Linked DNA regions of Daphnia pulex. The protein of the gene in region 1 purifies or fractionates together with the protein of each later gene. This does not show direct contact. Links are inferred from orthologs where the notes say so. Each region holds a gene or a part of one and is shown on either strand. Other genes may lie near its edges.

The links.
Region 2: the proteins of DNA-directed RNA polymerase III subunit RPC3-like (region 1) and importin subunit alpha-1-like purify together in Homo sapiens (co-immunoprecipitation; 3 studies listed by BioGRID and IntAct, with this or other methods). This does not show direct contact. The link is inferred for Daphnia pulex from reciprocal best matches to the Homo sapiens genes POLR3C and KPNA2.
Region 3: the proteins of DNA-directed RNA polymerase III subunit RPC3-like (region 1) and DNA-directed RNA polymerase III subunit RPC8-like purify together in Homo sapiens (affinity purification with mass spectrometry; 5 studies listed by BioGRID and IntAct, with this or other methods). This does not show direct contact. The link is inferred for Daphnia pulex from reciprocal best matches to the Homo sapiens genes POLR3C and POLR3H.

What each region holds. Positions count from the first base shown.
Region 1 is NC_060018.1:10,223,199-10,227,616, forward strand, and holds DNA-directed RNA polymerase III subunit RPC3-like, read left to right. Parts: upstream 1-1,593; 5' UTR 1,594-1,771; intron 1,772-1,859; 5' UTR 1,860-1,988; coding exon 1,989-2,147; intron 2,148-2,207; coding exon 2,208-2,335; intron 2,336-2,393; coding exon 2,394-2,524; intron 2,525-2,580; coding exon 2,581-2,854; intron 2,855-2,918; coding exon 2,919-3,284; intron 3,285-3,354; coding exon 3,355-3,547; intron 3,548-3,612; coding exon 3,613-3,783; intron 3,784-3,863; coding exon 3,864-4,010; 3' UTR 4,011-4,199; downstream 4,200-4,418. Other genes in the region: uncharacterized protein LOC124188665, read right to left, coding at 1-383, 472-1,030, 4,347-4,375. UniProt on the Homo sapiens protein: DNA-dependent RNA polymerase catalyzes the transcription of DNA into RNA using the four ribonucleoside triphosphates as substrates.
Region 2 is NC_060028.1:48,919-53,349, reverse strand, and holds importin subunit alpha-1-like, read left to right. Parts: upstream 1-1,555; 5' UTR 1,556-1,708; intron 1,709-1,941; exon of another isoform or gene 1,942-1,979; 5' UTR 1,980-2,002; coding exon 2,003-2,065; intron 2,066-2,131; coding exon 2,132-2,300; intron 2,301-2,360; coding exon 2,361-2,508; intron 2,509-2,567; coding exon 2,568-2,823; intron 2,824-2,880; coding exon 2,881-3,433; intron 3,434-3,497; coding exon 3,498-3,775; intron 3,776-3,956; coding exon 3,957-4,058; 3' UTR 4,059-4,303; downstream 4,304-4,431.
Region 3 is NC_060017.1:5,958,838-5,962,008, forward strand, and holds DNA-directed RNA polymerase III subunit RPC8-like, read left to right. Parts: upstream 1-1,411; 5' UTR 1,412-1,583; coding exon 1,584-1,694; intron 1,695-1,757; coding exon 1,758-1,941; intron 1,942-2,001; coding exon 2,002-2,139; intron 2,140-2,215; coding exon 2,216-2,346; intron 2,347-2,438; coding exon 2,439-2,489; 3' UTR 2,490-2,554; downstream 2,555-3,171. Other genes in the region: cellular tumor antigen p53-like, read left to right, coding at 59-200, 268-529, 599-887, 961-1,101.

The DNA.
Region 1 (4,418 bases):
TATGGCTCATTACTGCTGAAATAATTTATCCGAATTTCTTCCAAGGTTTGGCAGAATGAATATAAGAGATGAGGCGGCACACAACATTCATTGTAAGCCTTTTTCTGTTCGGTGGCCGGGTTTTGGTCGTGTTCGATTGAGGGAACATCTGGAGTGACATTTCTCAGCAGGGTCAAATCACCACAGTAGAATATACTCAAAAATTCGTCGATAGAAAGAGGTAAATTATCGAAACCGAGACGCAAGGACTTTAGACGCGGACAAGACTTTCCCAAAACGGAGATGATGGATTTGCACTGAATGGGAACCTTGTCTAAATGCAAGCTTGTCAGAAAAGTAAATTGGCTGATGTAAAAACCAATGGTCTCTGGCCAGTCTTGCGCCTAATAATTAATAAAATAAGTACATATCTTAAGTTATCATTTGTTTAAAACATAATTTTATGTGTCACTTCTAAAACGTAAAACCTACCAAGCCGTTTGAGCAATGGAAGTGAAGTTTCCCAAGATTCGGGCAGCGCTTGATGATGATCGGCAAAATGCGATTATCAAAACATTCACATCCATCCTCGTCCCTACAAGGAATCTCGACGAGGTCCATGTGATCGTCCAAGATAACATCAAGAAGGCGAAAAAGACCCACTAGATCTCTGGCCTCTTTTCCCTGACTCTGAAAATGTTTAAGTAGTCGAAGACGCATATCTTTATTTTTATTTGCGTCATATTGGCCTAGTTTCTGATTTAGCTCATTACGAGCGGAATGAAGTGGTCGTTCTTCATCGGCTGATCGGAGCAGGGCGTCAACCATGCAAAAATAAATGTTTAACATTTCGTCTTTGTTTTCCTCCTCCAATCCAGGCGCAGATGCTTCTTCGGACGATGAAGGTGTTGACGACGGTGGCGGTGTTGTCGTCGTCGGAGGTTTCGGTCTCATGGCCCAGCTACCTTCATAGGCACCTTCTACGTCTTGACTAGACTTGCGTTTGCGGCTATCACTTAAGTTAGACACGGCGATCGGCCTCACCACCGCACTGCGTTGAGAAAACAAAAAGATATGAGTTCAAAGATAGGAAAACTTCATAAATTAAATTATAAATTAGACAGTTTACTGATGCATCCAATTTTTCTCTGGCGAAAACAAAATTAAAATTACATTTTTTATAAAATCAATAAAACTTACGAAGAAAATGTCGCTATTATTAATCAAAGTTAGATTTTATTCCAAACGGCTGTTTTTCGAATACGAAAGGCGGCATTTTTTTTACACGAATGATTGCCACATTTTGTTGATGAAACACATTTTTGAATAATAAAAGACACTTGGAAAATTGTTACTAAAACACTTTTGCACTGTAAGCGTAGCCTAAACGCTAAACTTTACACTAATAAAATTTTGGGGTTCAAGCGCCTTTTGGGATGCACTTCACGTGCCGAATGCCTCATACACAATATTAAAAGGTGAACGCAAATTCTCTTCCCGATGTCCGACGGCCATTCACAGCCGAGTTTTATAAGTGTTTCAAGGTAAAATCTTGAAGAGTATACCTCGACCAAGGTATAACCGTGTGCAGTTTTGGCTTTTTGGAGCTCATTCTTTGATTGTTCGTAGTATAGCCACGTGCCGTTTTTCATCCTCGCAAAAAGGGGTTGCTTCCCAGTTCCCACTGTGACCTTGTACTTTGATTTGTTTAGACTTAATGGGAAAAACATGAAATTTTACACATCAAGGTCTTTCATTGATTGAGGACTAAGATCCCCGCTCAAATGCGCAGGTAGTGGAAGTTCACGTGTTTAATTTTTTATAAAACGCAAAATTCGATTTCTAATTTTTGGTTGCATTTGTATCGTTTGGCAACGCAGGAAGTATCAGTATACCTTGCTGCAGACGAACATTTTGAGAAATACTGTTTCAAAAGTTGTAGTTTAGTGGATGTTTGAAGAGCACATGTTCTTTAGATTCCGAAGGAACATAACTAATCAAACGAGAAAATGTCATCGTTTACATTAGGTCACTTTAGCCAAGTATGCAGCCAGTTGTTAAACCACTACTATGGAGAAATTGTCGGCCAAGTCGGATCCTATTTACTTAGGCGAGGCAATCGTATGTTGACCGACATACGTACTGCAACCGGCTTGTCCATTCGCGAAGTGTGATCAATTTTAACTATATTAAAGATACACTTTCTAAAAATTCTGCATTTTTCATAGGTTAAGAAAGCTTTGGCTGTGATGATTCAACATAACCTAGTCAAATTCCAAGCAAGTGAACGGAATAACAATGTTGCAGAGTACTCAATGATGCATCACAATGTCTACTGTCTCATTAGATACCCAAAGTACATTTTTCTTATATAGTGGTAATTTCCTTTTAAAATTTTACAGTTGACTTTGCAGGTATCTATACATGATTAAGAGGATTTATGGGACATCGGAAGAAATTCTGCTAGAGATCTTGCTAAATCTAGGACAAGCAAGTGCTTCCAATGTTATTTTCCATTCAGCAAATAGGCTGAATGAAGCTAATGGTATTTTCAGCCCTGATTTTTGTAAATTACAGTAACCATACTTATATTCGTTGTAGATAGTGAAGTTTTAAGTCCCTCAGCCCTCCATCAAAGTTTTCAAAGACTTGCCCAAGATAACTTCATCATTAGATGCCCAAAGCTTGCAGAAAACGCAACTTTACTAAAAGTGCCCACACTTGAAATTGAAGAGAAAGAAAAATTTGCTGTTCCAAACGTGGAGATTGAACCTATAGCCAGAATGCTGAAAGAAAAAGCAACTCAGTTAGGCGGACATTGCGACAGCGAAATAATTTGGCGTGTAAATCACGAACGATTTGACATTGAATTGAGGTAGAAATAAATTTATCTCCACCCTAAATTGCCATTTTTATTGTATGTAAAAAATGTTTTTTAGGAATGTGATTCTAGTCAATGCTGCTGCCAGAAGAGTGGATACAACAGCTGGCGAATTATACCATTTAATCCTCAAGCTCTGGCGCGAAAGTAGCAACCCCGATTCACCAGCAACAACTCCCGTATCCTACAACGTAATTAAGGATGCCGTTAGAAAAAACGACAGTAGTCCGATTTTGTTGGAACATTTCGATCACTACTTGAGAGTGCTGCACGAGGATTCTGCTGGTTTGATTGACAAACCGGGCGATGCTGGTGGCGGTCAATTCAATCTTGACTATTCGAAAGTTTTCGAAAATTTGGCTTGCGCTTCGTTGGACTCGATTGTACTAGAAAGATTTGGATCGAAAGCTTTACGACTCTTTAGGTGGATCAGAAATTTTAAAAATGGTTCAGGATATGCTAAAACATTAAATCTTCTTGTTTCACACTCTTAGACTGACTCGGATTCAGAAGTTTATGGAACAAGACCAGATGCAGAATGTTGCAATGATTCCGGCCAAGGAAGCCAAAATGTTCACCTACAAATTGCTGGAACACAACTTTCTACAAATCAAGGAACTGAAAAAGGGGACTTCCAATTTTGCTCCGGTCAAATCCTTCATTTTGTACCACGTCGACTTACCTCAGGTGAGAACGAAATATAAATACCTTGATATGATGCTGTGTAATTGCAAAAATACTTCCTTGCACAGGTTGTCCGGACAGTACTGGAAGCGAGTTACAAAGGCTTATTTAACGCTATGGTACGGCAAATGCACGACTTGACAGAAAACAAACGCCTGCTTGAAAAACATGCCATGTTGGAATCAATGCTTGAACGTCTAAAAGGAGATGATGGAGTTCCCGAAGAGGAAATAGCAGAAGTTAGTATTTCCCATTTTCGCAAATCTCTTGATTAAAATACTCCCACTGTTTGACTTACGAAACTTTTCTATTGTAACAGTTATCCGATACGATGCACCCTGCCGAAAAGTCTTTAGTGGAAAAAATTCACTTAATGAGTGATAATCTGACGTTAGGACAAACCCAGGCAGACGAAACAATCCTAATATTGGAAAGTTATTTAAAGTTTAAATCAAAGGAATTGTAACATTGGGTGTCACGAATCTGACGTTGTCTGGGTTTGGGTTTTGGATGTGAAACTGCTGCGTAATTGTCGAAGATGTTCAAGAAAGCAATCAAGGATCATCCCTTAACCTAACTCATGTCATGTGTCGCTCGAAATTGTCTTGGATTGTAAAATTTTGTTCGAGAATAATAACTAAGAATTTTTCAACATAAGTATTTGCAGAAATGACTCAGTAAAAAGAAAACCAGCCGTTTGTAGTCGAAGAAAAATTATCTAGAGCAACAGCAAAAGGCGCGCTTTGTGAAATAGACACCCTCAAGGGAATGAAGAAAAAACATGTAAATAAGCAAAACTTACGTTATGGGGCTCGTTGACAATTTTGTCATTGTGTCACCTTATCGGTAGAAAATTAAGAAACAGTGTAATGCG
Region 2 (4,431 bases), on another chromosome or scaffold:
GTTGTTTGGGCCTCCTGTTTCGTGCATCATCAAATAATAATGCGCCACATTATGTTCAATTAAAAAAGAGACGTGGAACAGATTGAAACTTAAACGAGAAATGTCAAAACAACTCACCATGGCGACAACCAGGCAGACGGCAACCAGAAGGAAGAGAATCGGAAGGAACTTCATTTTTTATCTAGGAGATCAGACGTGGGGGTTTAGGAATTCAAACGCCCAAGTGGGTCGTCATTTTATAGTCGAGCCGCATTTTTCTATGTCGATTATTTAAGTAGCGCCAGTTGAACTATCGGATTCAAATGAAACTTGACAATTTACGAGGGGCTGGAAAATGATTGGACGTGATACGAATGTGTTGGAATAAACACCAACTGCAACACCAACTTTGCAGGGTCGTTGTAATCCAGTTGAACCGATGACGGGAGTTGCAGCTGTTCACGTTGGATTTCTCCGTTTCTTTTGGAACTGCCCGGCGGATTGCAACTAATTGTGGGGAAATTGGAAATGAAAAGGAATTTTAGAGTCTATTAGCACACGTGACCTAATCACAGAATATGATTAGTTTTTAAGAAACGTATAGACTGAAAAATGTGTTTAACGTATTACGTGCACACTGTCCAGCACGGATTTTACGACCACCTGTGTCGGAATTAGCGATTCCAACTGAACTATATTTGGTACGCTCTGTTGATCAAACTTGTCGAAAGGCTAAACGGTCCCCTCTTGCAGTCGGATGAAACTGATTTTTAAAAATAAAAGTTATTTGCCTGCCACTGATTTAATAAATTAAATGAAATAAGATATATAACTTGAATTCACAACTGTTAGTGTTTAAAGCAATTAAAACGTTTTAATTTCTACAGAAAGTTTAGAGATCAGACAAGAGACATTGTAAATCTAAATTTCATTCTGTATGTTTGGTATCACAGCTAGGCCTACCTCATTTCGTTAGGAAGATGTATTAAAATGAAGTTTCTTCCATACTTTATCTGTTGATTCTGTTCACACTGATTTTGGATGATACTCTTACAACTGATGGAAAATTTGGTCTGAAAAATATTTGAAAATTTAGTATAAATTAATTTGGGTTGTGGGAGAAAACTTTTCTTTCTTCCAGATGGCAGTCTAAAGTTTAAGCTTTCAGGAATCGGCTGGCACTGGCTGGTATTCAAATTTTTGCCACTTTTTTAGTTTGGAAAACAGTTTTATATAAATTGAATGTTCAAGATTACTGGATCTATATTTGTATAACTTCTTCCTGCCAACATAAAAATTGTTGATGCTAGTTTTATGAAAACTGTTTAAACCAGGGGAGAGATCTCTGACACTGTCATTTGGACATCATCATACATCATGTTCTTAAAGAAAGACTTCCAACAGATCATTAAGTCAGAAGGTTAATTAATGAGAAATCCTATGGTAACAAATTCTTATTAAAATCAATTATCAATTTCAGTTAAATTCTATTATGACCAGCTCCATCGGCGTTTTTCATTTTCTGCTTATTTTGAAATTTTAAATTTTCTCGTCTGCTTATACGTTGCCAGATTTGATCCCATTCCGATTGCATCAATGAATAAATTTGGCAACAGGCAACGGTTAGGTTTGAAATTCCCTCCCCCTTCTTCTTCTTCGTCGTCTGGAATTCTCTTAGCGATCAAACGGTCACCATTCATCAATTGATTCTTGCTCACAAGTCCCGCAGGTAATTCCTCTCTCTATTAATTTTCAATTTTTCTGACATTCCCACGTGGAATAATAGTTTACTTCTTGCTTCGACTATAACAAATTGTGAAATAATGGTATGAGTCATCATTGACACATTTTTAACGACTGCCATAGTCTGGGAAATTTTGCACGTGGCGCGGGAAATTTTTTCTCTTTGTTGCTTCATTGTCTCGAGTCCCATTTCTCATTTTTCTTTTGTCATTGTGCCAGATTTGAAAATCCCTTTTAGAATTCTCTTTCTTTGACAGCTGGAGTAAATTACACTATCACAATGCCTACTGAAGCAAATCCCAGCCGGTTGAAGGACTTCAAGAACAAAGGCAGAGATGTTGAGGTAAATACCTTAAAATAACTAGTGTCAGTTCTCAAATGTAACAGATTTTTCATCTTTCTTGTTCAGGAAATGAGGAGGAGACGTACAGAGGTGAATGTTGAGTTGCGGAAAGCCAAGAAGGAAGATCATTTGTTGAAGAGACGTAACCTTGAAATCGATGATGAGCCCCTCAGCCCACTCCAAGAACAGAATCGGATGGCTGCAGCAAATATGAGCATTGAGGACATAGTCAATGGTATGTGTGCATCAGTTTTTATTTCTGAGTTGCTTCTCATATGTTTTTCATTATCGTTAGGTATCAACAGTGGTGATGAGAACAAGGAGATCACTGCAACCCATGCTGCCCGTAAAATCCTCAGCAGGGAACGTAATCCACCCATTGACATCCTCATTAATGCAAATGTTGTTCCGAAGCTGGTGGAGTTTCTCAGTCGTGTCAGCAAGTATGTCAAGTGTCTCTTTTGGTTTTTGAACATTTCCTAATGGTCTTTCTTTGTTTCAGCCCCGATCTGCAGTTTGAGTCAGCCTGGGCTCTCACCAACATTGCTTCAGGCACATCTGACCAGACAAAGGCTGTCGTCAGTGCTGGGGCTGTCGCTGGCTTCATTTCCCTGTTGGGGTCACCTCATCCAGTTGTGGCAGAGCAAGCTGTTTGGGCTCTGGGTAACATCGCCGGAGACGGACCAGAGCTTCGTGATCACGTCATCGAGCAAGGCATTATCAAGCCTCTGCTTACTTTGATTAAACCTGATACTTCGGTGAGTTTTATTTTAAATTTACGTTCGTGTGCAGTTGTTAATTGATTTGATCTATAGGCCACATTCTTGCGTAATGTCACTTGGACTTTGTCCAACTTGTGTCGTAACAAGAATCCTCCGCCCAGTGTCCCTGCCGTCCGGCAACTGCTTCCCGCATTGGCCCACCTGATCCACAACAACGACAAAGAGATCCTCGCCGATGCTTGCTGGGCTCTTTCTTACCTCACCGATGGCCCCAACGAACGGATTCAGGAGGTTGTCGACGCCGGTGTCGTCCCACGGCTGGTCGCTTTGCTGGACCACGTTGAGGTGGCCGTGATCACCCCCACTCTGAGAACAATCGGGAATATCGTTACAGGAAGTGACATTCAGACCGATTCCGTCCTGGCTGCTGGTGCCTGCCCGTTGCTGGCCAAGTTACTCGTTCATGCTAAGATGAACATCGTCAAGGAGGCTGCCTGGACCGTGTCCAACATTGCTGCCGGCAATGCCATCCAGATTCAGGCTCTCATCACCAACAATGTTATTCGTCCGTTGGTGGATGTGCTGGGCAAAGGTGACTTCAAATGCCAAAAGGAGGCAGCTTGGGCCATCACCAACATCACTTTAGGTAACTTATTTCATTTTTACTGGTGTTTTATTGATTTTTAATTGATTTTTCTTATTCATTTCAGGTGGCAATGTGGAGCAGATCGCCTTGTTGTGCCAGTTTGGTGCCATCGCTCCGCTGTGCACTTTGCTGGAGGCAAAGGAACCCAAGACCATCTTGGTCGTGCTGGATGGATTGGCTAATATTTTGGCCGCAGCTGAGAAAATGGGTGAATTGGAGAAAGTTTCCCTTCACGTCGAAGAGTGTGGTGGTCTGGACCGCATCGAAGCTCTGCAGAGCCACGACAATGTTGAAATCTATCACAAGTCATTGGCCATTCTGGAGCAGTACTTCTCAACTGACGTAATTTATTCTTTTTTTATTGTTTCTTTTTTTGGGTTTATTTCAATGATTACCACAACTGTTCACATTCATAGTGTTTGTGCTGACAACTTAACCATTACTGAGATTTTAGAAAATTAGTTTTATTTTGAAATAGTGTTCTTGAATTTGATTTAATCGTTTTTGTTTGTTATTTCGACAGGGGGATGAAGATTCCGAGTTGGCGCCATCTACATCGCAGAGTGGCAATTACGAATTCAACAACTCGCCATCTCAAGCCCCCGAAGGAGGTTTCTCATTCTAAATTTTGTATAATCTAAAAATTCTTTTTGATTTTTTTCTGCCTTTACAACGGTAAATATATTCTTCACTTTCTTGAACGCTATCCTAATCATGAGTTTTGGCCTTTTCTTATTTCAAAGTTTTTTTCTAAATTGTTTTTTAATTGAAAGTTGCCATTTGCTTTCATTTCTGTCCATGCACGACGTCTTCTTTCCTCTTTCTCAATGCGCGATAAACGAGCAATACAAAACAACTCGATCAACTCTACATTTGATAAGTTTTGATTTTGTCGTGCTAGTTTTTATTTTTTGTATTTCAAGTTGATTTCCTGATTCCAGGTTGTTGGCTGCTTACAGTTAATCCGTGTTCTGACATTTGTAGATAATTTCCACATC
Region 3 (3,171 bases), on another chromosome or scaffold:
TTTAAAATTTACACAGTTCCTTATATGTTATATTTGACACATACATTATTTTTCTTAGTATTCCACAAAACTGAAGAAGCTGTTTGTTAGTATGGATAAGGCCTGCCCAATTTCCTTTAGAATGGATAACCTTTCACAGGAATTCCACAGATATTGCATTCGGGGACAAATGGTGTATTCAAAGGCTGATCACTTTCAAGGCAAATAATAACATTTAAACGTTTCTCTGTATCCTTTTAACAATTTATTTAAATTTTCTTCCTATAGATCCCGTTGAACGGTGCCCAGCCCACAAGGGGACTGGTCCACCGTTGCCCTATACTCCACATGTATTGCGTTGTGATGACAATGATTCAACATATGTCGATCACAATGATATGCGGCATTCGGTTGTCGTTCCACTGAAGCCTCCTGCTCCCGGGACCCAGTCAGTGTCATTGTGTTACAAATTCATGTGCCTGTCTAGCTGCCAAGGAGGCTTGAACCGACGACCCACCAAACTGATCTTTACATTAGAGTCTGTGACAAAGTAAGTTGTCCATGAGAGAATTTTTATAATTATTAAAACTACATTCCTACATTACATTTCTTCTTCTAGTGGAGGACGATACGAGGTTTTTGGACGATATGCCTGTGATGTTCGTATATGTAGCTGTCCCGGTCGGGATATTAGGGCTGAAGAAGCAAGATTTGATAAAATGCATTCACATGATCCCACTGCCAGCGAAACAGACTCTTCAAACTTGATTCCTATCGAGCTTCCTTCCATGGCCCAGTTGAAAGGAAAAATTAAAAAAAGAAGAGCTGTTCTTCCTCCTCCTCCTCCTCTGGTCGCGCAAACAGATTCGACAGAAGACGATGACGGAATCTACAACTTGAACGTCAATGTAACTTTATTCATCATCACTTAACACAATTGTCCTACTAATTCACTATTTTAATAATATTTTTTAAATATAGATTAAAGGACTCAAAAATTATAATTTCATCAAAGATATTATAAGTCGTTTTCAACATGACTACGATGGCTTTCCCCCCGGAAACAATGATCAGGCTAATCATACTGATACTGGGAAACGTTTTAAAAAAGAGGAGCCTTAAATCGTGAAGTCTTCCCTTAAAAAGAGTCGTTTCAAAATACAGTTTTATTCTTTTTTAATGTTTCTTGAATTATTGGCATGATCATTAAAATTAAACCGATTTTTCACAAATTCATTTAACAGCGTGTAACTCTGTAACATGCCAATGATGTGCCGAATAAACTTAGTATGACTAAAAGAAATTATCCATTTTCTAATGGAATTTTTCAATGAAAATTTAATTATTTTTTAGATTTTATTCTTCGAATTTAGAACTAGAGTTGAGTTGGAAGTTGCCAAGTTGGACTAGCTGGTTTAAAGTGTAACCCCGGCCCCGCCCACTTGCATGAGTAGCAGACGACATTACACGTGTAGAAGTTAAAAGAAACAACGTGCTTAGCCGGTGTTTCACGACTTTGTTCGTGCTTAATAAACACGAAACACACAGACGGACCACACTGAATCAAAATAAATCTTTGGGCTTATTAGTTAATTGTTTAAACCATGTTCGTTCTAGCTCTTGTCAAGCAGACTGTAAGAGTTCCTTCAGAAAAATTCAATCGGGATATTGATCAAGCTATTTCGGAAGAATTGAACTTAAAGTTTGCTAATAAAGTAATTAAATTCCTATGATGATTGACATATGCATTTATTAGTAAAATATTTGTTCTCATTTAGGTAGTTCTGGATGTTGGACTGTGCATTGCTCTGTGGGATATAATTAAACGAGGAGAAAGTTTCATTTTGCCAGGTGATGGTGGCCATCATACCAAAGTTGAATTTCGTTATGTAGTATTCAGGCCTTTTATGGAGCAGATTCTTGTTGGTAGAATCAAAAACTGTGATAAGGAATCAGTCCAAGGTAACTGAAGATTATTCATTTGTTATTAACAGTTGTGCATAATCAAAAATTTGCATCAAGTTTCTTTGGGATTCTTTGAGGACATCTTCATTTCTTCTGAGAACTTGCAAAAAAACTCCAGATTTGATGAAACTGAACATCTTTGGATTTGGGAATATCAAACAGAAGATGGAAAACATGACCTTTTCATGGATACAGGTTTATAAAAAAACAGATAACAGCATAATTTTATGATAATTATCTTTTTGTGTTGATTGTAATTGTATTCTTTTAGGTGAAGAAATCCGATTTAAAGTAGTTGCTGAGTATTTCATTGATACAACACCTTCTGGCCCCAGTAATGAAGCACCTGACTCATCTCTAGATCCAATAAAAGACAATAAAAGGTTGTCGTATCGCATAAATGTGCGTAATTTGAAATCCGAAACATTACTATAGTTAAATTTCTTTTACTTTCATGTGTAAAACTTTAATGTTTTGTTTATTTGCAATTATAGGCATCTATCAATGAATCAGGATTAGGTTTGCTCTCTTGGTGGGCTAGCTGAAGTCTTGAAGCTGTGAAATGTTGCGATATTTAAATCAATAAACTTCACCAATGTGTTTTTTCTAATTTTCGATATTTACACTTTATTTCTTATCGTAAGGAAGGAACCACAGGCCATCTTTTAAAAATAGGAAAATCTCAGCCTTTTTGACAGTCCTTTTAGAAAAACTGAAAATGCATTGATTTAAAATGCAATGCATTTAACGAAAGCCTTATTCTAAATTTGTTTTTAAGAAAAAATGTTCCTACTAACGCAAAGGGTCAATTCAAAGATATACGTCTATGTTCTTCTGTTCAGCAAAAATTGTTTAATTCGGTTGAACTTATCTTATGAACTTCGAGTAAAAATAATTATTTTGAGGTTAAATAAACTTGAATATTCAGCATTTCAGCTATTATTATTTAACACCCGTTTGTGAAACAAATGTGTTTAATCGAAGTGAACGCTTTTTTAATGGTGTTCGGGGCGAACTTCATTATTTGTAATTCTCACAGTTTATTCGCCTCGCCTTATTTAATTGGAAACTTTGAGATACTTTGAATTCTGAATTTCATGTGTAAATAATTTAAAATTCTGTATTGAACGATGTAAAAGACAAATTAAACAAGCAAGAAACAAGTTGTGTAAATTGCAGTCGAAGCTGTTTTGAATCTCCAACGGTCGTTTCGGTTTCAAATCGGTT